Anolis sagrei: one gene and its partners. The protein of the gene in region 1 purifies or fractionates together with the protein of each later gene. This does not show direct contact. Links are inferred from orthologs where the notes say so. Each region holds a gene or a part of one and is shown in the gene's direction. Other genes may lie near its edges. The genes, in order: FBXL5, MMS19, ACO1 and CIAO2B.

Region 1 (6,923 bases):
AACAGGAGGGGAAGGAAGGACAGAATCTTTCCCTTCCCAGTAGATCCAGGCAAAAACTGGTACAGCCTCTTCTTGCTTTGGAACAGTATATCCTGTGTGATATGACTTCAAATTGCTTCTGAAAGGAAGCAAATGGAATGAACGCACTTTCAAAACACAGGGGAGATGGAGAGCCATTCCAGTTAAACAGAATTTTCTTTGAGGAGACCCCTTTGAATAATCACACCCAGATCTGCGCACAAACATCCTGATTTTTATTTGTGAAAGGGTATACTACTGGGGCCCCTGGTGGCACAGCAGGTTAAACCGATGAGCTGCTGAACTTGCTAACCAAAAGATTGGTGGTTCGAATCCGGGGAGCAGGGTGAGCTCCCGCTGTTAGGCCTAGCTTCTGCCAACCTAGCAGTTCAAAAACATACAAATGTGAGTAGATCAATAGGTACCGCTTCTGCGGGATGGTAAAGATGCTGCATGTAGTCATGCTGACCACATGATCTTGGAGGTGTCTAAGGAAAATGCCGGCTTTTCGGCTTAGAAATGGAGATGAGCACCACCCCGCAGAGTCAGATGACTAGACTTAATATCAGGAGAAACCTTTACCTTTACCTTTATTGCTACTGTGGGCTTAGCCCCATCTCTGACCCACTCACTCAAACCATGAACACTAGGTGGCCCTACTAGCTGTACCGCTACCACCAGAATAGCCTCTTGCCTCACAGGCACACACAGTCCCACCACAGAAAATTGAAAAATTGATGACAGAGGTAAAAATGTCTGGTTTTAGACCTTTCATAGGGACCAAGCAATTTATGGCTGTGCGTGCAAAACAAGAAGCAGTACATTTTCTGTTTGTTTTTTTTGTTTTTTTTACACATTGAAAGTATATTTTTGTCCAGAAAGTAGAACATTGTCCCTTAGTTTCATTGGGCAAGCTGGGAATTGGAAAAAACTGCAGCACATCCCACTGTTACCAGAAGTCTAATTGGCAGACAAGGCTTTTTTTCTCTTTAGGGTTGCCTAGGCTATGGAACATCCTCCCACAGAAACTTGCACGGCTCCCACACTACTGGCATTCTAACATTGCTTGGAAACTGTTGTTTTCTTGGCCTAGAGAGTGATATTTTGTTTCTTTGGTTTGCTGCTAAAATTTTGTTGCTATGATGCCACCTTGATTTTTGTGTGCAAAATAAAAAGTTACACTGCACTCTGAACAAAACAACAAATTATTGAGCTGCTATTTTCTAATACAGCTATAATGTTGTTATTTATGATTATTCTTTATACCCCATTTTTCTATCCAGAGACTGAAAGTGGCTTACAATAAAACAGATACAATACAATTTAAAACCTGAAGAACATACAAACATTAACATAGAATTAAATATTAATGGTATAAAAATAAACAGTGTAAATCCTTAAAACTAGTTTAAAATGTATTCAAAGCCAAAACCACAGTGCCCTCTAAACCAGTTTCTCAGCCTTCCTAATGCTGCAATCCCTTAATACAGTTCCTCATTTTGGGGTGACCCCCCAACCATAAAATTATTTTCATTGCTACTTCATAACAGTAATTTTGCTACTGTTATGCATTATAATGTAAATATCTGATATGCAGGATATATTTTCATTCACTGGACCAAATTTGGCACAAATACCCAATCAATACACTCATATTTGAAGACAGTGGGGTTGGGGGTGGGGGGGGCACAACTGATTTTGTCATTTGGGAGTTGTAGTTGCTGGGATTTATAGTTCTCCTACAATCAAAGAGCATTCTGAACTCCACCAGAAAGATCTAATACCTTGATATTCTGGGTTATATGGCTATGTGAAAGGGCAGTCAGATAACCCAGGGCCCTTCCACACAGCCCTATATCCCAGAATACCAAGGCAGAAAATCCCACAATATCTGCTTTGAACTGGGTTATCTGAATCCACACTGCCATGTATTCCAGTTCAAAGCAAATAATGTTGGATTTTATTCAGCTCTGTGGAAGGGGCCCCAGTTCAAAGCAGTTATTGTGGGACTTTTTGCTTTGATATTCCAGGTTATGTAATAATAATACTAATACTTCATTTGTATTCCGTCCTATGTCCCCAAGGGGACTCAGGGCGGATTCCTACAGACAAAAAGGCAAAAATTCAATGCCTTGAAAAATAATAGACACAAATAAACAAACCAACTAAATCCCAAAGTAGACCAACATCTAAAACCAAGTTATAAACACACAATCTAACATTAAGAACCTGATCTAATAATTAACATAAAAGTACAACCATTTGTTTTTAAAAACACACACACATAAAAGATCGTTTGCAATGTTTAAAATTAATTATATGGCCAGTAGTGTCAACAAGGCCAACAAAGTCATCAAAGCCCATACGCAATAGTAATTTCCAAACAGGGCCTACTTAGCTGTGCATCCGTCATCCAATCCTCCTCCTCTCCATATGCTAGTGTGTAGAAATTAGTTTTTAACTATTTTATTATAATCATATGGCTGTGTGGAAGGGCCCTTACTGGCAGCTTCCCCGTTTACAATGGAGGACCCTCCCTAAAGGAGGGCAACTAAAATTATCAAGGGTCTGGAGAACATGACCTATGAGGAGTGGCTTAAAGAGCTGGGCATGTTTAGCCTGAAGAAGAGAAGGCTGAGAGGAGACATGATAGCCATGTATAAATACGTGAGAGGAAGTCATAGGGAGGAGGGAGCAAGCTTGTTTTCTGCTGCCCTGGAGACTAGGATGTGGAACAATGGCTTCAAACTACAAGAAAGGTGATTCCACCTGAACATTAGGAAGAACTTCCTATGAGAGCTGTTCAGGAGTGGAACTCTCTGCCTGAGTGTGGTGGAAGCGCCTTCTTTGGAGTTTTTTAAGTACAGGCTGGATGGCCATCTGTCGGGGGTGCTTTGAATGTGATTTTTCTGGTTCTTGGCAGGGGGTTGGACTGAATGGTCCACAAGGTCTCTTCCAACTCTATAATTTTATGATTCTATGATATTATCTACTTTGAACTTGATTATATCAGTCTACACTACCATATAGTCCAGTTCAAATAATTTAATCTGGATTTTATATGGCAGTGTAGAAGGGGCTTCCATCTCAGTGTGCCACGGTCCAGACTAAAATCGCTTTTCAATTGGAGATAACTTGCCTGAAGGTTGTTGCCTTATCACATGATATATTTGTGCTCACAAAGTTCTACTGCAAATAATCTCCATTCACGGTAGGATAGCGTCACAAAGTCTATTTACAACAGAGAAAAGCAAATTCTCAGACTTGTATAAACCTAACCAAAGATGTTTTCTTCCTATGCAAGGTGGGTTGAAGTGCAGCCATTTTCTGACTGCCCACATTGTTTTTCTCAGCAGAAAAAACGGCCTCAAAATTTGGGAACTCTTCGAAAAGGCATTTATGTGCAAGGACCCATGCAGCAAGAAAGGAGATTTCACCTGAACATTAGGAGGAACTTCCTATGAGAGATGTTCAGCAGTGGAACTCTCTGCCCTAGAGTGTGGTGAAGGCTCTTTCTTTGGAAGCTTTTAAACAGAGGCTGGATGGCCATCTATCGGGGGTGCTTTGAATGCAATTTTCCTGCTTCTTGGCAGGGGGTTGGACTGGATGGCCCAACTCTGATTCTATATCCCAGGATCTGATCTCAGGTTGCCTGCTTTAAACTGGATTGAGTCCGCACTGCCATATAATCTGGGATAAAGGGAAAACCTGGGATCAGACTCTGGGATGTAGGGCCTGCCTGGAAGGGCCCTGAATGGAAATCTCCCTGGTTTTCAAGGGCGGCGCTGAAACATGGCGTCTCCCCAACGGCGCACTCGGAAATCGCCTCTTCCGCCTCGTTTGGGTCTACGCTTCGCACGTGACCTGTGAAGCAACCTGCCAGCGCATGCGCCTTCCGCGTCGGGTCGCGAGCGGCCGCTGCGGCGCGCGTGCGCAAGGCGAAGGCCGTGCCTGCCGCCGTTTGACCCGCGGTCGTCGAGCGAGCGCCTCTATATGGGGAAGAGAAGATGGCTCCCTTCCCTGAGGAGGTGGATGTTTTCACGGCCCCGCACTGGCGGATGAAGCAGCTCGTGGGGCTCTACTGCGACAAGGTACGGAGGCCGGGTTGGGAAGAGAGCGGGGCGGCCAGGCGGGGCTCTGCGGAACCCTCTCGGCCGCCGAGACACGCCTCCGGCCCTTCGCGCTTCCATCAGCCAGGGTTCGGAGCCTGGCGCGCGAGGGTTTGGGCGCGAGAGCAGAGGGGAGGGGAGGGGGCGGCGAGCGCGCGCGATCTGAGGAGAGGGGCGAGACTGGCGGCTGCGCAGACGTCCCCGCCTCGCGCGCCGCTCTGAGCGCCTCATCAGCATCACACCCCCTCCCTCCACTGGCCTTGCGGAACAGCCGCTCTTCTGGGAAGGCTCCCCCCTCCCCCCGCCAAGACATCCCAGGACTCACTCTCACCTCTTTTCCTCACCCCTCTTTCCTCACCTCTTTTCCTCCGTCGACTCTAAGGCCCCTTCCAGACAGGTCCTATATCCCAGGAACTGATACCAGTTTTTCTGCTTTATACTGGGTTATATGCGCCCGCACTGCCAGATAATCTGGGATAAACAACCTGGGATCAGATCCTGGGATATAGGGGCTGCCTGGAAGGGCCCAAAATCTATCCACTTCCACTCCCTTCATGACGAAAATTTAGGACCCTTCCACAGAGCCATATAACCCAGAATATCAAGGCAGAAAACCCCACAATATTAGCCCGCACTGCCAGATAATCTGGGATAAACAACCTGAGATGAGATCCTGGGATATAGGGGCTGCCTGGAAGGGCCCTAAATCTATCCACTTCCGCGAAGACTCCTCTGGCGTCCCTTCATGACAAAAACTTAGGACCCTTCCACAGAGCCATATAACTCAGAATATCAAGGCAGAAAATTCCACAATATCTGCTTTGAACTGGATTATCTGAGTCCATACTGCCATATATTCCAGTTCAAATAATGTGGGATTTTATTCAACTATTTATTTATTTATTTGCTGTATTTGTATACCGCCTTTCTCAGCCAATAGGCGACTCAAGGGGGTGAACAGGGTAAAATTCAATGCTTACAATATCATAAATATAATTTAAAACATAACATATAATAAAAAATTAAACATCTCAATAAAATATAAATTCATAGTGTCTCCTTGTTAAAAATGTTGTCCGGCCTCATTGTCGTCATTCCATTTTCCTATGACAGTTACTCGGCATTTGGAAACGCATGTTCAACAAGCCACATCTTCACTTTTTCCCAGAATGTTAAAAGGGAGGTGGCTGATATAATATCTATAGGGAGGGTGTTCCACAGCTGAGGGGCCACCGCCGAGAAGGCTCTGTCTCTTGTCTCCGCCAAACTTACTTGTGATGAAGGCGGTAACAAGAGCAGGGCCTCCCCAGATGATCTTAAGGTCCTAGATGGTTCATAAGGGGAGATGCGTTCACATATGTAAGTTGGGCCAGAACCATTTAGGAAGGGGTCCCACTCTTTTAAAGGCTCTTGCATGCAGCCATATCACCCAGAATATCCAGGCAGGAAATCCCACAATATCTGCTTTGAACTGGAATATATGACAGCGTGGACTCAGATAATCCAGTTCAAAGCAGATATTGTGGGATTTTCTGCCTTGATATTCTGGGATGTAGGGCTGCATGGAAGCACCCTATAACAACCAACTTCAAAGCAGATATTGTGGCTTTTCTGGGTCATATGGCTGTGTGCAAGGGCCTTGAGGCCCCTTCTACACAGCTGAATAAAATCTCACATATTTATTTTTTTTGCTTTGAACTAGAATATATGGCAGTATGGACTCAGATATTGTTGGATTTTCTACCTTGATATTTTGGGTTATAAGGCTCTGTGGAAGGGCCCTGAGTCCACACTGCCATATATTTCAGTTCAAAGCAAAAAACGTAGGATTTTATTCAGCTGTGTGTGGATGGTGCCAAAGTGGGTCAAGCTGCAGTTATTCACCCTGGAAGACACTTCCTCCTTTCAGTCTTCACCTTGCACTTTGTCACTTTTACATTTGAGGTTTTCTAGGCGTAGCCCCCTTCTTTGTAAGCCACTTGTGACATAACTGGAAAGGAAAGGAGGCCTCTACAGCCCCTTCCACACAGCTAAATAAAATCCACATTTTCCGCTTTGAACTGGAATATATTGTTATTATTTATTTATTTACATCCTGCTTTTCTCCCCCACAGGGGATTCAAAGCAACTAACAACAAGATATAAAACATACAGGAATGTTAGGACAAAAAGGAAATTGACATAGTCAGTAATAACAATGAAAACATAATAAGACAATTAAACCGTAATAAAACACATTACTGATTGAAATACAATCAGTACTTTAAGTATAGTTAAGCACATAATAAACATAAACCGAAGCCATTATCCTTCCAATTTCCACATGTCCATAAGGTATTGCACAGAAATGTTCAGCACCAGATATTACTATGGCGCCTATCGAGCTTGTATTAATTTTCATTGAAGGTCTGCTTCCAGATAAAAGTTTTTATCTGAAGCCTGAAAGTTAGTAGGGAGGGGGCCATTCTGATGTCTTTTGGAAGGGAGTTACAGAGCTGTGGAGCAGACATTGAGAAGGCCCCCTTTTATGTGATGGTGGTGGCAACGAAAGAAGGCAACGTGGACTCAGATAACCCAGGGCCCTTTCACACAGTCATATAATTGATTGTTTATATTGCCCATTTGCTTTGTTTATTATTTAATGTTGAGTCCCTATGGGGAGAGGGGGCAGGAGACAAATAAAGTTTTGATGATGATAATATTGATGATGATATAACCCAGAATATCAAGGCAGAAAATCTCACAATACCTGATTTGAAGTAGGTTATCTGAGTGCACACTGCCATATATTCAAGT
Region 2 (7,475 bases), on another chromosome or scaffold:
CAGTGCAAGAAAATTGAAAACATGACCTTGCTTTTAGTTTAGAATGTTATAATATGCCAAGGACGTTTTATCTGCCCGTATTTGTTACCATTCCTTTCCCTATTTGCACAGTCTCTGTTGTGTGATGCCATTGCTTCTCCCAGCACTCCCCATCATTTGTTGTCTCTCCCACTGCTGAGATCATCACCTTCTGTTGTCAATGGTACATTTTTAACTCAATGGTTTTCAACCTCTAGTTCTCCAGATTGTGTGGTTTCGGCTGCCAGAATTCCTGAACATTAGGCTACAACTTCTATGTGTTGAAGTCTAAAACAATTGGAGGTTCACCTACACTTAATTAATAAATAATCTGATTGCTATAGCCTATGGAGGAAAAAGCATTTAAATAACATTCTGAGATCTACCAGCTAGAAGCAGGTGCAAAATAGTGGCTGGAGTGCAGATTTGAGATACTAATGCTGGCTAAGGAAGCAGAGCTAATCATCAGTTATAGTTCATGATGCATAGACTAGGATGTGTTTATAAATCTATATCTGAGTGATTCCAGATCAGTAATTCTAACACAGTGCTAAAATTGCCTAGCAGAGCTTCACTAAGATGTGGTCATAAATAATAAATTAACTACCAACAGAGCTTTAAAAAAATTTAGTAAAATAATTACTTTACAGGAAATGAACAGTGAGGCTGGGAGATAAGTGACTGACATAAAGCCCTGAAAGGGAATTTATTTAATTTTTACTTGCTATTATTAAACTGCTGGAAGTGAAAAACCCTTTCCTTTATACGACTAATCACCAGCAGTCTGTCAGTATATACCTATATTTCATGTATCCAAGGAACATGTCTAAATATCTCAAAATTAAATATGCCCATTTAGGGTTTTGGCAGGTTGTACAATGCATAACAAGCCCTGCATCTGTGTGTGTCAACTTTGCATGGATAAACAAATCTGAGGCTATTTTATTTTATTTATTTATTTCCCGTATTTGTATCCCGTCACTTCTCAACCCCTGAAGGGGGACTCAGGACGGCTTACAATGTGCCCCGTTACAAGGCCGCTACATGACAATTACAATAATAAAATCACAATTGGACACAAATAATAGTTAAACAATACATAAGCAATCATTAAAACAGTAAAACAGTCTTGTCAGCCATATTGTCATTCCAGTCATGTCCCTCTAAAGTGCTGCTATATCTAATGTCTGAAAGCCTGGTCCCAAAACCATGCCTTTAATTTCTTTTGGAAAGCCAGGAGGGAGAGAGCCGATCTTACCTCTGTTGGGAGTGTGTTCCATAGGCAGGGAGCCACCGCCGAGAAGACCCTGCCTCTCGTCCCCGCCAGACGCATTTGTGCTGTTGACGGGAGCGAGAGCAGTGCCTTCCCGGATGATCTTAGATTACAAGGTTGGATGTAGGGGTGGATGCGTTCGGACAGGTAAGCTGGGCCAGAACCATATAGAGCTTTATAGGTCAAAACCAGCACTTGAATTGGGCTCAGAAATGGACCGGCAGCCAGTGGAGCTGGCACAACAGGGGGGAGGTATGTTCCCTGTATGTCGCCCCAGTTAGTAATCTTAATTTCTATTGAAATGAAGGACATCTGTCTAAGAATATGATTGGAGCTCCTTCTACACTGCCATATAAAATCTAGATTATCCGTTTTGAACCAGATTATATACCAGTGTAGGCTCATATAACCCAGTTCAAAGCAGATAATGTGGATTATCTGCTTTGATAATCTTGATTATATGGCAATGTAGAAAGAGCTAGAGTCACACTGGAGGGCTTAGAAAATTAGAGGACCTATTTGTCAGACATGGATACACGAAACCCATGGATACAGAGCTCATACTCTTCTGTTCTCTAATGGGAAGACTACAGTTGGTTATAATGAGTTTCTAATCTTAATGTTGGATGTTATCTCAAAAGCATATATTCAAAATAAATATTGTTCCAGCCAGTTGACAAAATTATGAGATCAAACCCTCTGTAACAGTCTCCCTCACACATACAAGTCCCGGTGACCTAACCTTTTAAAGATATCAATAACTTTGTGGGATTTAGACATAATACTAAGGGCCCCTCTACACTGCCATATAATCCAGAATATCAAAGCAGATAATCCACATTATCTGCTTTGAATTGGATTATCTAAATTTACATTGCCAGATAATCCAGCTCAAAGCAGACATTCTGGATTATGTGTTTGTGTGGAAGGACCCTCAGTCTCTTTGTTTATCTCGTTTAGCCAATGGTACTTTTTTTGGATGTTACTCTTCACTGGTTAAAATCTTTGATCCATCAGCAAACCAATTCTTTATTTCAGTATGTGTATTTTTTCTATAAAGCCATCCAGTAAAATGCAGTATATTTGAACAAAATGTTGAACATTATAAAACAACAAACAGGAACAAAGGTCAATCACCTTTGCCTTCTGCTTTTCCTTTGTCACATTCCCACTTGAAATAAATCTTGGATCTGCATCACTTTTAAAACCTCACTATGTTTATTCTAGGGCCCTTCCACGCAGCTATATAACCCAGAATATCAAGGCAGATAATAATAATAATAATAATAATAATAATAATAATAATAATAATGTTTGTTGTTTATTCGTTCAGTCGCTTCCGACTCTTTGTGACCTCATGGACCAGCCCACGTCAGAGCTCCCTGTCGGTTGTCACCACCCCCAATTCCTTCAGTCAAGCAAGTCACTTCATGGATAACATCCATCCATCTTGCCCTTGGTCGGCCCCTCTTCCTTTTTCCTTCCATTTTCCCCAGCATCATTGTCTTCTCTAAGCTTTCCTGTCTTCTCATTATGTGGCCGAAGTATTTAATCTTTGCTTCTACTGTCCTTCCCTCCAATGAGCATCAGGCTTTATTTCCTGAAGTATGGACTGATTGGATCTTCTTGTGGTCCAAGGCACTCTCAGAATTTTCCTCCAACACCACAGTTCAAAAGCGTCTATCTTCTTTCGCTCAGCCTTCCTTATGGTCCAGCTCTCACATACGTAGGTTACTGCGGGAGATACCATTGCTTTAACTATTTTGATCTTCTTTGCCAGTGTGATGTCTCTACTCTTAACTATTTTTTCAAGATTGGCCTTTGCTCTCCTCCTCAAAAGTAAACTTCTGATTTCCTGGTTGCAGTCTGTGTCTGCAGTAATCTTTGCCTCCACGTTTTCTTCCTCTATTTGCCAGTTATTAATCAGTCTTGTTGCCATAATCTTTGGGTTTTTTTTTTTTAAAAAAACTTCAGCCCAGCTTTTGCACTTTCTTTTTTTACCTTGATTAGAATGCTCCTCAGCTCCTCCTTGCTTTCGGCCATCAAAGGGGTATCATCTGCATATCTAAGGTTGTTAATGTTTCTTCCAGCAATTTTCACCCCAGCCTTGCTTTCCTCAAGCCCTGCACATTGCATGATGTGTTCTGCATACAAGCTGAATAGATTAGGTGAGAGTATGCAGCCCTGCCGTACGCCTTTCCCAATCTTGAACCAGTCTGTTGTTCCATGGTCAATTCTTACTTTTGCTACTTGATTGTTATACAGATTCCTCAGGAGATAGACAAGATGATTTGATATCCTCATACCACCAAGAACTTGTCACAATTTATTATGATCCACACAGTCAAAGGCTTTAGAATCTATATAAATAAAAATGTAATGTTAGTTTGTGGGATCAACATAACTCAAAAACCACAGGACGAAGTGACACCAAATTTGGACACAGTACACCTCTCAGGCCAACAAGTGACCATCACTCATAAAAACACTGAAAAACACAGCAGAAGAGACTTAAAAACCAAAAACCATTTTTTTTACAACAGATGTGCAAAACCACATACAAACACACATATACACAAATATAGACACAATAAACACATATATACAGACTGGACCACAGCAATGCATGGCAGGGGATGGCTAGTAGTCAATAAAACAGAAATAGATGTTTTTTCTGAAAACCTTCCCAGCTGGTAAACTGGGAAGGATTGCTGGGAGTTGTAGGCTGAAACACCTGGGGACCCACAGGTTGAGAAATACTGTGTTAAGTCTATTAAAAAGGTAAAGGTAGTCCCCTGACATTAAGTCTAGTCATGTCTGACTCTGGGGTGTGGCGCTCATCTCCATTTCTAAGCCGAAGAGCCAGCGTTGTCCGTAGACACCTCGAAGGTCATGTGGCCGGCATGACTGCGTGGCTCCTGGTTAAGTCTATTAGACCTGGGCAAACTTCGGCCCTCCAGGAGTTTTGGACTTCAACTCCCACAATTCCTAGGGAGTTAAAGTCCTAATCCCCTGAAGGGTCAAAGTTTGCCCAGGTCTATTGTAAAGTGTGCGCTTTTAGTCAATGGGACCAGGCAGCACCGCTTCCCTCGCCCTGCTTGGAGCTTGGCCTTGGGAGGCTGTCCCACGTGACAGGCAGGGAGAGAGACGCGCATGCGCCGTCGCGGCCTCTCCTCGCCCTACTGACTCTCGGCCTGATCATGGCGGCCGGCGGGGCGGGCGGGGACCTGGGGGCGGCTGCCTCCCCGTTGCAGGGCTGGGAGCGGGAAAATGCGGCCCGCGAGGCGGCGGAAGGTAGGGCTGGAGTAGAAAAGAGCGGAGGGATGCCTTAGAGCGGGAGGAAGGAGATGCTTGAAAGGGGGAGAGCATCTACTCCAGGCATGGGCCAATTTGGGCCCTCTAGGTGTTTTGGACTACAACTCCCACCATTCCTAACAGCCTCAGGCCCCTTTCACCTGGAGGGCCCAAGTTGGCCCAGGCCTGTTCTGCAATGTAGAATGAATACAGTTTGGCACCACTTCAACTGCTATGGCTCAATTTTATTGACTTTATGGGAATTGTAGTTTTACAAGGTCTTGCAACTTCACTGCTGGAGGCTGTGAGTGCCCCCCACCAAACTACAACTCCCATGATTCCATAGCATTGAGCCATGGTAGCTCAAAGTGGTGCCAAACTGCTTTAACTCTACAGTGTAGATGTTTGACACTGAGCTGTTAGAATATCATATGTCAAGGCCATTTCAGTGGAGTGACTTATATGAAATCCTGATCAAAATGAGTCAAGATCATGTGTAGTCAAATAAGGCATCAGTTTCTCTATTTCTGTGCATCTACATACTTCAGAATAAGGAAAATAGAGTGGGGGCAATTGGCTATTATCTCCAAGCAGTAAGAAGGCCAGCTTGTAGATGTGTGTTAATCATAGTTTCCGATGTGCTCCTGAGAATAGTTTCATTTTATTTGTTCTTGTGGGTAAGGTTGTGTTTAGCATTGTTACAGCTACATTTTTGTTGCTAACCATGCCGACTGCTACATGTATAAATTTGCACCAAAATTGTTTCCTTCCTTTATTGTTGCATTGTTTCCTTCCTTTATTGCATTCTACTTTTTCTTCAAATGAAATCCAAAATTATTTTGTTGTTAAATATGCAGCATAGAATCATTCAAAACATGAATGGAAAATTTGAAAAGATGGGAAGGGAAAAGAAAAACATTGAAGCTTTCTTCTTTGTCCACCTCAGCTAGCACTTCACTTGGATGTAAATAAGAAGCTCTGGCATGTTATCAGTCTTCTGCATCCCTGTGTTTTGTTTTGTTTTGTTTTTGAGAAGGAGCTGACCCTGAGTATCCAAGAGCAGATGCTGCTCATCTGCTTTTTGGGTGTGCATACTGCTCATCCAGGGACAGCCAGAAGGCTGAAGCAGATGCATGTAGTAATGTTTCTGACATGGAAAGCCTGAGTACTGCAACCTTTTATTATTTAAAGAAGGAGCCCCCAGTGGCTCAATGGATTAAACCCTTGTGCCTACAGGACTGCTGACTTAAAGGTCATTAGTTTGAATCAGGGGAGCAGGGTAAGTTCCTGTCTGTCAGCTCCAGCTCCTTGTGCAGGGACATGAGAGAAGCCTCCCACAGGAGGTAAAACATCTGGGTGTCCCCTGGGCAACATCCTTGCAGACGGCCAATTCGCGACTTTTTTTTTTAAAGAGACAAAACTTGTAGTGTTAAGGATCCCTGTGATGGAGATTCAACTGTGTAAGAAAGCATCCTGCTTGATGGTCCTATAGATCTGTGATTAAAATTTCTGTGATTAAATTCCCTGTTTATATCCAAGCCAAATTTTGTTCAACTTGGATCTTACCTGATAGCTCTACATAAGGTCAAAGTGCAGTGCCTGGGGTAATTTTCTCACACTTGACCACATTATATTTACAGTTGTACTAGAAGATAAAAAGAGGAGTGAAGATAAAAAATGGCGGGCCTCCCATTTTACAATGGGAGTGTACCTTGTACAACACATAAACCTTAGAGTGTACAGTCCTAAAAGTATTCATAAATAAGTCCCATAGTGCTCAGTAGAACTTATTTCTAGTAAATGTTCTTTGGATTGCAGCTAATGACAGTTGCTCAACATGTGTCTTTCTGGGAGTTCAGAAGCGAACTAAGTCTCTTGATTATCTCTCTAAAATGTCTAATTTAATGACTGATTAAAATATTGTCTTGCTTTTGGCAGGCATTTTCTTTCTGGGGTAAAAGGAAAGTGTATTTTGCTGTTTTCTGGGGCTGGGAATAGGGTTAGGCAATGCTTGTAGGGTTAACTTCTGAATGCCAGCCTTGCAGATTAAAATAATATTTCTGCTAACTAACTCTTACAGACTTGTGTATAAGAAGAAAAAGGAAAAAAATAAACCCAGATAAAAAGCCAGCAGTTTCATGTGCTTTGCTCACTGGGAGTCATTGCTGCAGCCTTTGTTAACTGTCTTTGTAGATTCTGTAACACTTAATTAGCATGAAAGAAGCAGTTTGACCATCATAAATTTTGATTGGTCCAGGACACACATAAACAAAATGTTTTCTCTATGATGTCTTCGAGATTAGGCAGAACTACCTTGGATGCTGAAGTGCTTATATAATTCATTCTTGCAATAGACCTGCTGGGACTGTGCTCACTTCCTTGTATCCTACCATCACAGCATTGTCAAATTGAGACCCCAACTACACTGATAATTTAAAGCTGTTTCAAACTGGTATTGAAGAAAGCGTTTTCACTGTGCAGATGATTTTATAGGACATTCTGGAACCAGCACAAAGCCCAAATGATGATCATACAAACAAAAGAGCTCATTAAGGGATTTATTTTGGGTGCTTTTGTGGGAGTTTGGTTTGGTATGATATTAAATGGTCAGTGTTGATGTGGCTTCAGGCAGACCATTCTTAAGGGCCTGGAAACAGCATGATTAGCAGCAGTTGTTTTTCATAGAACTGCAAGAATATAACAGATATTCAGAAGATTTGACAAAGCAGACATGATGATACTGTAATACTTGCTTTTTCTGGGGGAGTAGCATGGGGTGAGGAGGGCAAATGAAGGTAGGTTCTACTCACTTGAATGCAGAACAAATCAGCCTTGTGTTTATTTTTTTAATTTCAAAAAACCCTGGTAGCTTAAGGCAAGTGAGTGAACT
Region 3 (7,504 bases), on another chromosome or scaffold:
CTCTGGCTTTGAAATTGTACTGCATCCCTCTTATACACCTGACCTCGCACCATTGGACTTCCACTTCTTTCCAGCAATGATATTTTTGAAGGGCAAGGATTTTTCAGATGAGGAAACTCTGATTTATGAAGTCACAACATGACTTTTGGAGCAACCTGCCAACTTCTGCAAGCAAGGTGTTTTCAGTTACTTAAAAAGATGGGAGAAGTGTGTGTCTCTATGTGGCACCTATGTAGAGAAGGACTACTAACTATGCCAAGTTTCCTTGCTCTCGGTCCACAGGAAGTAGGTCAGGGGAAATCTTTCATTATCATGAGATAAGATTGTTCGTATCTTGAGATCTCAGCTGATGCTCATTTCAGCAACCCTACACTGATCATCACAGAAATCTGTGCTGCTTTCTTCGGGGAGAAAGGCAGCTTAACCTCTTCCAAGTTCCCAGCAGCAGCCAAACCAAGCCAGACAACCTGCTTGCTATGACAGTCCTGTGGAGCAGAAGGGGTGCCATGGGACCACAGAATACATATCTGTCAAGGCATCCCGTTCATTTTCCTCCCCTTGGCACCTCATTGTTACCTTGGGGGTCCTGGAAAAGGTCCAAAGAGCACTGTGAAAGGCTGTCATCTGACTGATTGATGCTAGTTTGGCAGAAACTCTCTTTATGCTTGCACTTTATGCCACATGCTTGGGATGTATAGTTGCACCCCTCAGGATCTTGTCAGACTCATGGAAGTAGGACACATGAATGGCACCAGCTCCACTACAGGCACAATAGTCACAAACCTCCCTGTATTTCTTGCTTGGGGACTCAGTTGTTTGTCCTACACTCCTCCGCTATCTTGTCATGCCCTTTTGCCCTTATCTGTTCTGACACATTCTGTAGGATTTCATAATTTCTATTTCTATGTGAAACTTTCAGCTGTGCTTGCATTTTCCCAGGCCCCATAGGCCTATGAGGTACAGCGTCTCCTGATGCCTTAGGATGCCCCTTTGCACCTTTTGGGGTCCCTTGTGTTTAAAGTGAGGTTAAGGGCTGTGCATCACATGGAACATTTGCTTTTATGGGGATATTTAGTGCTCTGTTGCAGCACAATTTTTGCATGATTTCTGATTTTCTTCTGACTTTTTTAAAACATGCATTTTCCCTGCTGATGAACATTGCAGTGCACATTAGAGGTGTGTGTTTTTGAAGCCACCTTCCTCCCTCATAATCCACTGCATTTTGGATCTCCTGGTCTGCGTAGATGGCACCCATAAATTGATGGTGAGGTCACGAAGAAGAGTCCTAAGTGACTGAACGAATAAACAAGTATCTTGATAGTGGTTAACAATGAATACATTTCAACACTAGAGGGCAGGTTTTGCTTAAGTATATGTACGTCAAGTCAACAATACTGTACAAAACCATACAATAGATACTTATATATAGATGCTTATGTGTTCTTAAGTTTAATTTGTATGTAAGTCAGAATAGGTACACTTTTAAAGTGATTTTAATGTTTGTATATATTTATGGTTTTATGTTCAGCATTGAATATTTGCCTTATATATCTTGTGCTCTGCCCCAAGTCCTCTGCGGGTTGAGAAGGGCAGAATATAAATGTTTTAAATAAATTAAATAAATAAATAGTGTGTAACTTTAAATGCATATAAGCATTCGGTAGCATAGGTAAGGGTTAACACTCCTGTGATGTTTGTTCTGCCGCCTGCGCCCCTGTTCAGAAGATTTCCCTTCACTTTTTGTCCCTGTGAAAATTGGATTTTGAAAAAAAAAAATTGGCTTGTTTTGAAAACAAGGATTGGTGAGAAAGCTTCAGTGGAGACACCCTTTTCCCATTACAATAACTCTTTCAGTAGTGAATGTCCCTTCCTAGGGATAGATTTCCCTCACTTCCTGTTGTCTCACCTCTGATCTTAACTCAGAGTCATTTGAAAATCAGATATTTGTAACTGTCCCTGTACAGCTACCGTAACTAGTAATGTTTTAATGGAGCCTTTTGTGGTAGAGGAAATCCATTGACAGGTGGGATTGGATGGGGATATGAATTTTAAAGCCATTTTAGTGTACTTACTGTATTTTAATTCTGTTTTTCCTTCACTGTTACTATTTAATTGCTTTTTAACTTTTGCATTGCCCTTTTTAAATGTGTCTAGTGTGGATATTATCTGATAATCTGGATTATATGGCAGTGTATTTAATTTATGGTCATATGTTTTCAACTTTGTTGTACCCCACCTCAAGCCATCAGGAGAGGCGGGTAATAAATAAAATGTATTTATTTATTAATCAGCCAGGCCTTGAAGCTGCAAGGCTTTGCAATGCTAATCAAGTTGATTAATTGTAACAATCACAATTGCCTCCAACAAACAAGAGTTCTTTCTCCCACTCTGGACCTTCCACAGATATATAAACCTCCCTTGCTTAGTTTACAATATGCATTAGGACAGAATGCTTCTGGAACATGGCCATACAGCCCGGAAAATTCACAAAAACCCAAAATGTATTATTCTTTTTATTATCATTAAAAAGATGTTAAAAACAGCTGCAATCCACTGGGTGGCATCATTATTATTAAGGTTATTTATATCCCACTTTTTTGCCAACTGCAACTCCCAAGATGCCGGGGCTGTTCAAGCGGTGCCAAACTGCACACATTTTACAGTGTTCCCCACCAAACGGCAACTCCCAAGATGCCAAGGCAGTTCAAGCAGTGCCAAACCACACACATTTGACAGTGTGCCTCACCAAACTGCAACTCCCAAGATGCCAGGGCAGTTCAAGTGGTGCTAAACTGCACACATTCGACAGTGTGCCTTGTCAAATTGCAACTCCCAAGATGCCAGGCAGTTTAAGCAGTGCTGCACCGCACACATTTGACAGTGTGCCTTGCCAAACTGCAACTCCCAAGATGTCAGGACAGTTCAAGTGGGACCAAACTGCATGCAGTCAACAGTGTGGAGGCAATGAAGCAGACTCTGGGACTTCAGTGACCAGCAAAGAAAGGGTCAAGAATTTGACATCTCTGACCCATCCCCTGAATAGATATCAGCCAACATGCCAACCTCTTAATTCAAGAAACAGCTTCCTAAGGGTTAGGGCAAGGGTTAGGGTTTGGTTTAGGTTTACAGTTAGGGTAAGGGTTAGGGGTTACAGTTAGGGTACGGTTTAGGGTTAGCGTAAGGGTTTGGGTTTGAGTTAGGGTTAGGATTAGGGTAAGGTTTAGGGTTAGGGTTTGGATAAGGGGTTAGGCTTAGGCTTATGATACGGTTCAGGATTAGGGTTAGGGTATGGTTTAAGGTAAGGGTTTGGGTAAGGGGTTAGGTTTAGGCTTACGGTACAGTTCAGGGTTAGCGTTAGCGTTTCACCATTAAAGAACTCTTACATTCCTTACATTATCTGTCTCCGGCCTGGCTTACATTAGCTAAATCTCTCTTGTGCATCCCGAAGGAGCAATGCGGCATCTCCGTAATGCTCGGAGCTTCCAGACCCAGCTATCATACTATTACCATGGCTTCTCTCATGTCCCCGCATGGGGAGCTGGAGCTGACAGAGGGAGCTCATCCTAGCTCTCCCCAGATTCGAACCTCCGACCTGTCAATCTTCAGTCCTGCCAGCTCAAGGTTTTAACCCAGGAGTCCTCAACTAAGGCCAGAGGTTCAGATGTGGCCCTCCAAGGTCATTTACCTGGCCCTCGCTCACAGTCTGAAACGACTTGAAAGCACACAACAACAATCCTATCTCATCAAGCCCACACTTCCCATTGAAATACTAATAAGTTTATATTTGTTAAAATTGTTCTTCATTTTAGTTATTATATTGTTTTAAAGTGTCTATTGCACTACAAATAAGATCTGTGCAGTGTGCACAGGAATTCACTCATGTTTTTTTCAAATTATAATCCGGCCCTCCAACACTTTGAGGGACTGTGACCTGGCCCTCTGTTTAAAAAGTTTGTGGACCCCTGGTTTAACCCATTGCGCCACCAGGGGCCAGCTAACACCTTCCAACAAAGGATCCCCCAGGCAGCAACCAGCTAGGCTTTGAAGCTGAAAGGCCAATAAATGCTAATCAAGATGGCCAATCGGAACATTTACACTTTCCTTCTACAGACAAGAGTTTTTTCTTCCACTCTGGACATTCCACATTTTCCTCGTTTCCAACAGACCCCTCAACCTTTGAGGATGCCTGTCATAGATGGAGGCGAAACGTCAGGAGGGAATGCTTCTGGAACATGGCCAACATGGAAAACTCACAGCAAACCAGTGCCTTCGACAATGCCAAGTTTTTAACTTTGTGGTTTTTAAATATATTATAACTGTATTCTCAATTTACTTCTGAAGCGATAAATAAATAGTGACCCCAGAGGGAGAGCTTTGGGCTCAGATCAGATGAGAAACCAGGAGGAGGAGGCTTTCCTGGGGCCTGAAGGGAGGAGGAGGAAGCGCCCTCCTCCTCCTCTCCTCCTCCTCTCCTCCTCCTCCGCCTCCTTGACCCGGGAAGGAGGAGCCTGCGCGCAGAGGCAGAGCCGAGTTCAGCTGGCGGCTCCTGCTTTCTGGGCTGCACCGTGGCTTCTCCTTCTCTTCCCTGGGCCTCCGTCCAGGTAGGTGCCTGAAGCGCCTTCCCAGCGCCTGCCTGCCTGCCTGCCTGCCTCCCTTCCTTCCTTCTTTCCTCCTTTCTCCCCAGGCTTTTCTTGATCTCTGCTTCCTGCCTTTTCTGACTCCAGAGTAGCGCCTCCATAGTTGTGAATTTCCTTTTGGGATCTGGGGGGGGGGGGGGTGTTTATTTCTCTTCCTTAGTGTATTCTGCCATTGAATGTTTGCCATTTTTTGTTATTGGAAACCTCTCTGAGTCCACTGTGTTGTCGAAGCTTTCATGGGCAGTATCATTGGATTGCTGTGAGTTTTCTGGGCTGTATGGCCATGTTCCAGAAGCATTCTCTCCTGACGTTTCGCCTGCATCTATGGCAGGCATCCTCAGAGGTTGTGAGATCTGTTGGGATTTAGGCAAGTGGGGTTTATATACCTGTGGAATAATGTCCAGGGTGGGAGAAAGAACTCTTGTCCGCTTGTGTCAAGTGTGGATGTTGTAATTTGCCACCTTGATTAGCATTGAATGGCCTTGCAGCTTTAAAGCCTGGCTGGTTGCTGCCTGCAGGGGAATAACGTGATTTTAACAGCAATTGCTATGTTTATATGTTTTAATCTGTATTTAATTTTAATTTTAAAATATTTAATTTTAATGTATTTTAACATTGTTGTTCAAAGGCATTGAATAGTTGACATATGTAAAGCTGCCTTGAGTCCCCTTTGGGTTGGAGAAAGGCGGGATACAAATAGAGTAAGTAAATAAATAAATTTGTTGGGAGGTGTTAGTTGGCCCTGATTATTTCGTGTCTGGAATTCCCCTGGTTTTTGTGTTCCTCATTATTTACTGTCTGGATTTTAGAGCTTTTTTTAAAATACTGGTATCCAGATTTTGTTCATTTTCATGGTTTCCTCCTTTCTGTTGAAATTGTCCATGTGCTTGTGGATTTCGGTGGCTTCTCTGTGTAGTCTAACATGGTGGTTGTGAGAGTGGTCCAGCATTTCTGTGTCCTCAAGTAATATGCTGTGTCCAGGTTGTTTCATCAGGTGGCTGAGTCCCTTTGGGGAGATAGGGTTGTATAAAAATAAAGATTATTATTGTTGTTGTTATTGTTTTTGTTTTTATTTCTGCAGACCCCTTTTATTATTTCACCCAACTTTTGCTCCAAAGCAGGCCTACTTCCAGAAGCACTACTCACTCACTGCATAGAAGGCCTGCCAAAAGGCAGGCTGCATCTGCTGTCACTGACATGGCTTCCTGGGTGTTGTAGTTCGGTGAGGCACCAGCCCTCTTTGGCATAGAAGGCAAAAGGCCTCATGAAACAAGGGCTCCTTCCAGACAGGCCCTATATCCCAGGATCTGATCCCAGTTTTTTTTTGTTTATCCCAGATTATCTGGCAGTGGGGACTCATATAATCCAGTTTAAAATAGAAAACTTGGAATCGGATCCTAGGATCTGGGGCCAATCTGGATACAGGGCCAGCCTGCAGGCATGGCAGTTCAGAGTGCCTTCATTCTACAGCAAGCATGGGCCAACTTCAGTCTACAGTCTCCAGCCTCCTCTATGGACACCCCCCCCCCCCCATGGTGCAGTGGGTTAAACCAGGGGTCCTCAAACTTTTTAAACAAAGGGCCAGGCCACAGTCCCCCAAACTGTTGGAGGGCCAGATTATAGTTTGAAAAAAATATTTCTATGCACACTGCACATATCTCATTTATAGTGCAAAAAACACTTTCAAACGATTGAAATGAAGAACAATTTTAACAAATATAAACTTATTAGTATTTCAGTGGGAAGTGTGGGCCCACTTTTGGCTGATGAGATAGGATTGTTGTTGTTGATGTTGTTGTTGTTATGTGCTTTCAAGTCGTTTCTGACTTAGGTTGACCCTGGGCAAGGGCCGGGTAATTGACCTTGCATATTCGGCCCTCGGGCCTTAGTTTGAGGACTCTTGTGCCGGCAGGACTGTAGACTCACAGGTCACAGCTTCAAATCAGGGGAGAGTGTGGATGAGCTCCCTCTGTCAGGTCCAGCTCCCCATGCGGGGACATGAGAGAAGCCTCCCACAAGGATGGTAAAACATCAAAACATCCAGGCATCCTCTGGGCAATGTCCTTGCAGACAGCCAGTTCTCTCACACCAGAAGCGACCTGCAGTTTCTCAAGTCGCTCCTGAAATGAAAAAAAAAAAAAGCCTTCTCTGTCAAAGAGTTCTGTGCCTCAGCAAAATGCAAATCCCATGATTCTATAGCTTTGAGACATGGCAGTTGAGGTTGTGTCAACTGCATTAATTCTAGTATCCTTCCTTTCACCAGATTCTTAAAGGGATATAGGACCCAAAAAAGTTTGAAATCCACTGAACTAATTATACTGTTAGATTGGAAACTTTTCTTTCTTTCATTCTCTTTTTTATATTCTTGATTCTTGAGACACCACACCACAAAGGGTTTTGATTTGCCTTGGAAAATAAGTTTTCAAATTTCTCAGAGTGCCTTTTATTGAGCAGTATTATTTCTTTCCTAAACCCTTTTCATTAAAAAAAATGTCCTCCCTTTCTCTTTCTCCTTTCCCCTACTTACCCTGTTTGTCAGCAGGAGCAAAGTACATTGTCCTTTGCTTCAGGCTGTGGTTTATTCTCCCCTCCCTTCCCAAGATGCCAGAGGCTGTTTAAGCTCCGAGGTCCTCTTGGGTGGGCATTTCCCTGCTTATATCAAAACAAACTAAGCACAGCACACGTTTTATCTTGATCAACTTTAAATTGAGGATTATGATTCTTAGATCCTTAGGATTTTCTCCTAACTGCTGACTGTGTGTTGTGATTGGGGGCAGGAGTATAAGATAGGTAGAGTCTGGTAAAGTTATGCTTTTGATTCCAACTTGGGGGTCCTAGCCATCCAAAAAAGTAACTTTGCTATGTTC
Region 4 (7,624 bases), on another chromosome or scaffold:
ACTGGCGAATTGCAGCATGCGCACTTGCTCTCATGGACGAGGGTTCTTGGACACTATTCCACAGATATGTGTGTGTGTGTGTGTGTGTGTGTGCATTCCACTTGCTTTATCGCCATTAGATCATAGAATCATCAAATCCTAGAGTTGGAAGAGATCTCCTGGGCCTTCATCCAGTCCAACCCCATTCTGCCAAGAAGCAGGAAAATCACGTTCAAATCACCCAGGACAGATGGCCATCCAGCCTCTGTTTTAAAGCCTCCAAAGAAGCCTCCACCACATTCCCTCTGGTGCAGAGAGTTCCACTGCTGAACGGCTCTCACAGTCAGGAAGTTCTTCCTCATGTTCAGGTGGAATCTCCTTTCTTGTAGTTTGAAGCCATTGTTCCCTTGCGTCCTAGTCTCCAGGGAAGCAGAGAACAAGCTTGCTCCCTCCTCCTCCCTGAGGCTTCCTCTCACATATTGATACATGGCCTTCATCATGTCTCCTCTCAGCCTTCTCTTCTTCAGGCTAAACATGCCCAGCTCCTTAAGCCGCTCCTCATAGGGCTTGTTCTCCATGTTGTCCCCCCAGGCGGCAGGATCTCCCGCCTTCAAGCTGGTCTGAACCGCAGCAGGGAGTTCCGCAGTTCCGGAGAGCCAAGTTGGGCCTGACTGATGGAATGTGCCCCAGCGAGCAGCTCAAGCTAAACTCAAGGCTGCAAGAAGCCTTTCTTTCACTTTCCCCTCTCCCTCTCTTTGTAACAAAGCCCCTAATAAAACACTTAAGATTTGAAACTTTAAATCCTTTCCGCTTGATACTTTGTGTCCTTTACTGACTGAAACTTTTCTAACAAAAAATAAACCTTTTTCTGAGCTCTGGGGAGCCGTGAGCTCACCGGGGATGCCTTCCCGGCCTCCCCGGGGCCCCAAATCTGCGTTAGTTAAAACCGCGGATACGGAGGTTTTCCTAATGGGCCCCCTTATCCGCCAAAACAACAACATGGCGGATCGGCCCCGTTCAAATTTCATATTTTTCTGCATTAGATTCTAAGACTAACTGCCATCTTGGTTTTCTCATTTTGGACTCCTGCACCCGGGAAATAATTGTTTTTGTTTAAATATTAAATCTGGCCGAGTCAACAGCTGATTTTCAAATTTTGCCGGCTTTTCCGGACTGCTGCATCTCGCTCACTGCCGCTCGCTCCTGCATGGCCCCCGCTGCCGGGGACCCACCGCCGTTGTCCAAAAAAGAGCCCTGGGAGAGGAGGGGCGGGCAGGGAGGCCCGATCCTCGGTTGGGAGCGCTAGTTTTACCAAGGACAGAGCAGTGGAACTCAGCTCCCCCTTCAGCTCCAGCTTCTGCTTCAAAGAAGAACCGATCTTCTGTTGGCTAGCCCGGACCCTGGGCTGACCTCCACCTCCAAGCCTCTTCGCCCGGACTTTGGGATTTCCAGTTTTCCTTTTCTCCTTTTTTTATGAAATAAATAAAATATTTTCTTACTGTAATGAACTGGGGTTAGGGGTGGATTGTGGGTTGTAAGAATATGAAATGCCTGTAAGTTAGTGATGCCTATGCCTTGTGATTATGAAATATGTAACCCTTATGAATTCCTCTGTATCCTCACCCCCCTTGACCCTCGCCCCACCAAAAACCGGCGTGACCAGGAACTGCCTGAGGGAAGAGCCCCAGCCTCTTCCTCAATCACCCATTGATTGACTCATCAGCACGGACAATGCTGCTGATCCCCAACCCTAGCCCTCGGAGCAAGGCCAGCGAGGGAACAGGGGTCAGCAGAGCCTCGGAAAAAGAGACTGATTAATTCACCCAGATATTGTTGACCCTCCGGGTGGTCCGATATCGATCTAGCCCATTCAAGTCACTCGCCAGACCCATCAAGGACAGGAAAGCTCTTTGTGTACCAAATATCACCCTTTTCCTGCCCAAGACAAAGCCCGCATTCCAGCAGGCAGGAAATCCAAATCCCATCATCTTTCCCCTTTGTCTGCGGCCGTCCCACCCTCCTCGCTCCTGATTGGTCCAGACTCGGAAGCGAGCGGAGGGCGCTCATTGGCCCTCCTGAGGCGAGGAAACGTTCTGATTGGCTGTAAGCTGAGGCGGGCCGCCAAGCCTCCTCCCAGCTGTTCCAGCCTCAGTCAATCAGCATCAAGCCGGCCGGCAAGGGGCAGCGGGAGTTTCAAACTGCTTTCTTTTGTTCTGTACTGTATAAAAATGCCTGAAATCTTTGTATCTGGATGCTTGTAGAGGAACTATCCCTACAATTGCATCCGACTCAGCTGAATCGCAAAGAAACCTCGATCGCTGGACTTCTTCCGCCTCTGGTGAGCTGATTATATATTAAAAAATATTCTTGCGCTCTTGGATTGGCTTCCGGAAAAATCTCACCAAGGTATCCAGGACTCTTTTTGGTGCAGTCCTAGGGCTCTCCCGTCTGGAGGAGCCCCCTAAAAGAGCTCGATATCATCCAGACCCTTGATCATTTGAGTTGCCCTCCTCTGGACACAGTATTCCAGCTTAGAGTCAATATCTCTCTTGAATTGTGGTGCCCAGAATTGGACACAATATTCCAGGTAACGTGGTCTAACCAAAGCAGAATAGAGCACCGGGGAGGGGGGGGGGGGGAGAGACTTCCCTAGATCTAGACACGAGGCTCCTCTTGATGCAGACCAAAATCTCATTGGCTTTTTTTGCCGCCACATCATTCCTGGCTCATGTTTAACTTGTTGGCCAATTAGGGTTTGGGTTAGATCTTCTGAAGATGACCTTGGCCTCCGCAGCAGGGGGAAGGTCAGGAGAGAATGCTGCTGGAACACTTTATTTATTTGAGACCCTTATATTCTGCCCTTCTCACCCCGACTCAAGGCAGAGCACAACGCATACACCCAGCAAGCATTCCATATCTAGGCTCACCCTGCTACTGCTGGCTCCGGTCATCCGAGGGGTGTGTGTGTCCTGTCCTTGCCCCCTTGCCCTGCCCCAAAGGCTCCGTCCCGCAGCCAGGTCTTGACCCTCTTTCTGAAGGAGAGGGAGGAGGGGGTGCTCTCCTCTCTCCAGGGAGGGAGATACACAGCCGGGGGGCCACCACCGAGAAGCCCCTGTCTCTCTATCTCTCTGGCCCCCAGCCATTGTGCCTGGACCTCCCCCGAGGACCTCAGTCCCGCAAAGGGAAAGACTCTGCGCCAGGACATCAAGTGGCCACGAATAAAAGAGTGAATATTCAGTGCTCATTAAACATACGAACAAACAGATTTGGTTGTACAATTATTTATACCTTAACATTTCATAACCCTCTATCCCCCCCCCCCCATGAACCCCACCCCCTGACCCCACTCTTTGGTAAATTTTTTGAATATTTTTTTTCTTTTTCCCCCTTTTATTTGTTTTGTTTTCTACATACACAATCTATCTAAATCAAAATGTCATGTTCGTTTGTGGGATTAACAGAACTCAAAAACCATTGGACGAATTGACACCAAATTTGGACACAAGACACATAACAACCCAATGAGTGACCTTCACTCAAAAAAATGATTTTGTCATTTGGGAGTTGTAGTTCCTGGGATTTATAGTTCACCTACAATCAAAGAGTATTCTGAACCCCACCAATGATGGAATTGAACCCAACTTGGCACACCGTTCTCCCATGACCAACAGAAAATACTGCAAGGGTTTGGAGGGCAGTGTCCTTTGGTTTTGGAGTTGTCGTTCACCTATATCCAGAGATCACTGTGGACTCAAACAATGATGGATCTGGACCAAACTCTACACCAGGGATCCTCAAACTCAGGGTCAACCTTAGTCTGAAACAACTTCAAAGTACACAACAACGACAACAATCCTATCTCATCAGCCAAAAGCAGGCGCACACTTCCCATTGAAATACTAATAAGCTTATATTTGTTAAAATTGTTCTTCATTTTAATTATTATGTTTTAAGTGTTTTTGCACTACAAATAAGAGATGTGCAGTGTGCATAGGAATTTATTTGGGGGTGGGTTTTTTTTGTTTTTTGCAATTATAACCTGGCCCTCCAACAATGTGAGGGACTGTGACCTGGCCTTCCTTCTGTTTAAAAAGTTTGGGGACCCCTGCTCTACACGAAGACTCAATATGCCCAAATGTGAACACTGGTGGAGTTTGGGGAAAAGTAGAACCTTGACATTTGGGAGTTGTAGTTGCTGGGATGTATAGTTCACCTACAATCACAGAGCATTCTGAACCCCACCAACGATGGAATTGGACCAAACCTCCCACACAGAACCCCCATGTGGGCCACAGCAACGCCTGGCAGGAGACGGCTAATAATAATAATAATAATAACAACAACAAAGTGGCCACGAATAGACACCCCCCGAACACCAGCTCTAGCGTCTCTGCTGTGAAGCCGGTTGTGTGCAACCCGCTCCCTCCCTCCACGCCCCCTGCTGGCCGGCCATTCCGCCGAGCGAGAGGCTCCTCGCCCCGGTTTCCCCCATTGGCGGCGCCTCCTGCCTGAGCCTCCCTCCCTCCCTCCTTCCCTCCCTCCCCGGGCCGGCAGGGGGCGCGCGCGCCGGGCTCCTTCCCTCCTTCCCTCCCCCCTCCCTCCCTGTCCCGTCCTCCGGAAGCGTGTGCGCCGTGCTTGTGGTTCCCCGGGGGCGCGTGTCCCGGCGGAGGCGTTCCGGCGCGGAGGCGCCTGGCGATGGCGATGGCGGGTGGGGGCAAGGGTCTGCTGGAGAACGCGAACCCGTTGGTGTTCCGGCGTCAGGGCGAGCGGGCCGTGACGCCGCGCGAGGAGGACGAGGCCCTGCCGGACCCCATCGACCCCAGGGAGGTCTTCGATATCCTTCCCGCCGGCGGGGAATGGGCGGGGGGGGGGGGGGGCTTTAGAGGGGAGGGGAGGGGAGGGGGCTGCCCTGCCTGGAGGAAGGAAGGAGGACCTCCTGTTTATTTATTTACTTATTTATTTATGTGCAGCTTTTCTATTCGGCCCTTCTCCTCCCCCCGCAGCAGGGGACTCAGGGCGGATCACAGTGTACACACATATATGGCAAACATTCCATGCCAGTAGGTTCTTGTGGGTTTTTTCGGGCTATGTGGCGCTGTTCTAGAGGCATTCTCTCCTGACGTTTCGCCTGCATCTATGGCAAGCATCCTCAGAGGTAGTGAGGTCTGCTGGAGCTGGGAAAAGGGGGGTTTATATATCTGTGGAATGGCTGGGGTGGGGCAAAGAGCTCTTCTCTGCTGGAGCTAGGTGTGAATGTTTCAGCTGATCACCTTCATTAGCATTTGAAGGCCTGGCTGAGCCTGGGAAAATCTCTTGCTGGGAGGTGTTAATCTGGCTACCAGTATTAAAAAAACTCTAGAATTGCAGCAGCAAAATAACAGAGAGGAAACAACCAGATTAACACCTCCCAGCAAGAGATTTTCCCAGGCTCAGGCAGGCCTTCAAATGCTAATCAAGGTGATCAGCTGAAACATTCACACCTAGCTCCAGCAGACAAGAGTCCTTTGCCCCACCTCAGCCATTCCACAGATATATAAACCCCTTTTCCCAGTTACCAAACAGACCTCACTACCTCTGAGGATGCTTGCCATAGATGCAGGTGAAATGTCAGGAGAGAATGCCTCTAGAACATGGCTCTATAGCCCGAAAAAACCCACAAGAACCTAGTGATTCCAGCCATGAAAGCCTTCGACAATACATTCAATGCCAATTTTTGACATGCAAACATATACATACACAGAGGCTATTTCACTTTTTTCTGGGCACCAGGGGAGCCGTCGCTTTCCTCGTCCATCTGCGACGCTGATGAAGCACTTCCGCATTCCCCGCATGCTTCCCGCTGGAATGCTTTGCTGGAGTCTTCTTTATGGCCTCATAAATCAGTTAATCCAGCCTCCCCACACTTTTTAAAGGTGGTACCTTATTTTCCTACTTGACAGATGCAACTCTCTTTCGGGTTGCAAAGGTCGACAACGGGCTACACAATTGGTTGGAAACCCACTCCAACCCGGGCTAGCTTTGAACTCATGACCTTTTGGTCAGAGAGATCTGAATGCAGATGACGCTCAGCCAGCTGCGCCACAATTTGTTTTGTTTTCTTTGATGTTTATTTGAGATGTATAAATTGTTCATGGTTATTTTTATTGACAGTTTTTAAATATACGTCTCTAGAATTTTGACCTAAAAAAGAAGTATTGTTGATGTTAAATCAGTGCGACTCAAAGGAATGCTCCACGGATTGGCCTTGGCCCATTGGTGGCTGGGACCTGGAGAGTTTCCCGGGGGGGGGGGGGGGGGGAATTGATACCAGGGTACACAAAGATGGTCCCAGTTTGCTGCAGCGAGGGAGCAGGATGCGGTTCTCTCACATCAGATAGCTTAGGAAGAAGTGCACACTTCATCAACGGTTCGGTTTGATTAACTGTTATTATTAGTTCATTGTGTTGCCATTTCCCTTTCCACTGAATTGTTCAGCATTCACGTATTGTGCATCATAATGAACTACGATGCAAGACTGAACAACCAATAACTCCAAAATGAACTTAGCAAAGATGTTGGGTGGATTCCTGTTGAACAGTTACACATGTATGAGCAAGGTTGACACATTCATAGCTATGCAGTATTCTCTCCTTAACACACCCGCACACCTCATCCGCGCCATCTCGGACCCGGAGCACCCGCTGACCCTGGAGGAGCTCAACGTGGTCGAGGAGGCACGCGTCCAGGTCTCTCTCTCTCTCTGCCTAGATCTCTCTGTCTGCATCTCTGTCACTATCTATCACTATCAGTTTCTCAATGTCTCCATGAGTCTACATCTCTTTCTATGTCTCTGTGTGTCTATGTCTCTTTCTAGCTAGCTATCTCACCACCACCCCCCACCCCCCTTACACAAACACACACGGGCAAGAACATAGGCAACAACAAAGATAGAGGACGGAAAGTTGGCGGTGACCCAGAGAGCAATGGAAAGAAGGAAGGAAGGAAAGAAAGAAAGATGGATGGATGGATGGATGGATGGACGTGTGGCAGGACAAGGAGAGAGAACGCCAGCCATGAGGAGCTGCGCCAAAGAACTGGGCTGTGGGGCAGGGTCAAAGAGGCCTGTGGGGCAAAAATGAGATGGACAGAGCCTCTTGCAAAAGGCCGCGGGTGGACATCCGACTCCCAAGCTGGAGAGGAAGAGGCCACAGGCCTTGCACTCAGTGGGGAGGAACCAAGGGTTAAATTGTTCAGACGGAAATAGAAAAGCAAAGCACAGGATCATATAGTTTGGGAAATAGGAGATTTGCACAAAGCCAGAGTGGATCAATGACAAATCAAATAGCTATATCTATCTACTTACCTTCTATCAGTATCAATCTATCTGTGTGTATATATATATATCTACTTACTATCTGAAGAACAAGCCCTATGAGGAGCGGCTTAAGGAGCTGGGCATATTTAGCCTGCAGAAGAGAAGGCTGGGAGGAGATATGATGAGGGCCATTGATAAATATGTGAGACGAAGCCACAGGGAGGAGGAGGGAGCAGGCTTCCTTTCTGCTTCCCTGGAGACTAGGACACAAAGGAACAATGGCTTCAAACTACAAGAGAGGAGATTCCATCTGAACATGAGGAAGAACTTCCTGACTGTGAGAGCCGTTCA

The links.
Region 2: the proteins of FBXL5 (region 1) and MMS19 purify together in Homo sapiens (affinity purification with mass spectrometry; 4 studies listed by BioGRID and IntAct, counting the BioPlex papers as one, with this or other methods). This does not show direct contact. The link is inferred for Anolis sagrei from reciprocal best matches to the Homo sapiens genes FBXL5 and MMS19.
Region 3: the proteins of FBXL5 (region 1) and ACO1 purify together in Homo sapiens (affinity purification with western blotting; 3 studies listed by BioGRID, with this or other methods). This does not show direct contact. The link is inferred for Anolis sagrei from reciprocal best matches to the Homo sapiens genes FBXL5 and ACO1.
Region 4: the proteins of FBXL5 (region 1) and CIAO2B purify together in Homo sapiens (affinity purification with mass spectrometry; 3 studies listed by BioGRID and IntAct, counting the BioPlex papers as one, with this or other methods). This does not show direct contact. The link is inferred for Anolis sagrei from reciprocal best matches to the Homo sapiens genes FBXL5 and CIAO2B.

Annotation. Positions count from the first base shown.
Region 1 is NC_090025.1:108,299,333-108,306,255, reverse strand, and holds the start of FBXL5 (F-box/LRR-repeat protein 5), read left to right. Parts: upstream 1-3,922; 5' UTR 3,923-4,025; coding exon 4,026-4,109; intron 4,110-6,923.
Region 2 is NC_090023.1:217,825,284-217,832,758, reverse strand, and holds the start of MMS19 (MMS19 nucleotide excision repair protein homolog), read left to right. Parts: upstream 1-4,453; 5' UTR 4,454-4,491; coding exon 4,492-4,585; intron 4,586-7,475. UniProt on the Homo sapiens protein: Key component of the cytosolic iron-sulfur protein assembly (CIA) complex, a multiprotein complex that mediates the incorporation of iron-sulfur cluster into apoproteins specifically involved in DNA metabolism and genomic integrity.
Region 3 is NC_090022.1:205,178,495-205,185,998, forward strand, and holds the start of ACO1 (cytoplasmic aconitate hydratase), read left to right. Parts: upstream 1-4,488; 5' UTR 4,489-4,601; intron 4,602-7,504. UniProt on the Homo sapiens protein: Bifunctional iron sensor that switches between 2 activities depending on iron availability. Iron deprivation, promotes its mRNA binding activity through which it regulates the expression of genes involved in iron uptake, sequestration and utilization.
Region 4 is NC_090028.1:95,338-102,961, forward strand, and holds the start of CIAO2B (cytosolic iron-sulfur assembly component 2B), read left to right. Parts: upstream 1-4,606; 5' UTR 4,607-4,674; coding exon 4,675-4,813; intron 4,814-6,624; coding exon 6,625-6,704; intron 6,705-7,624.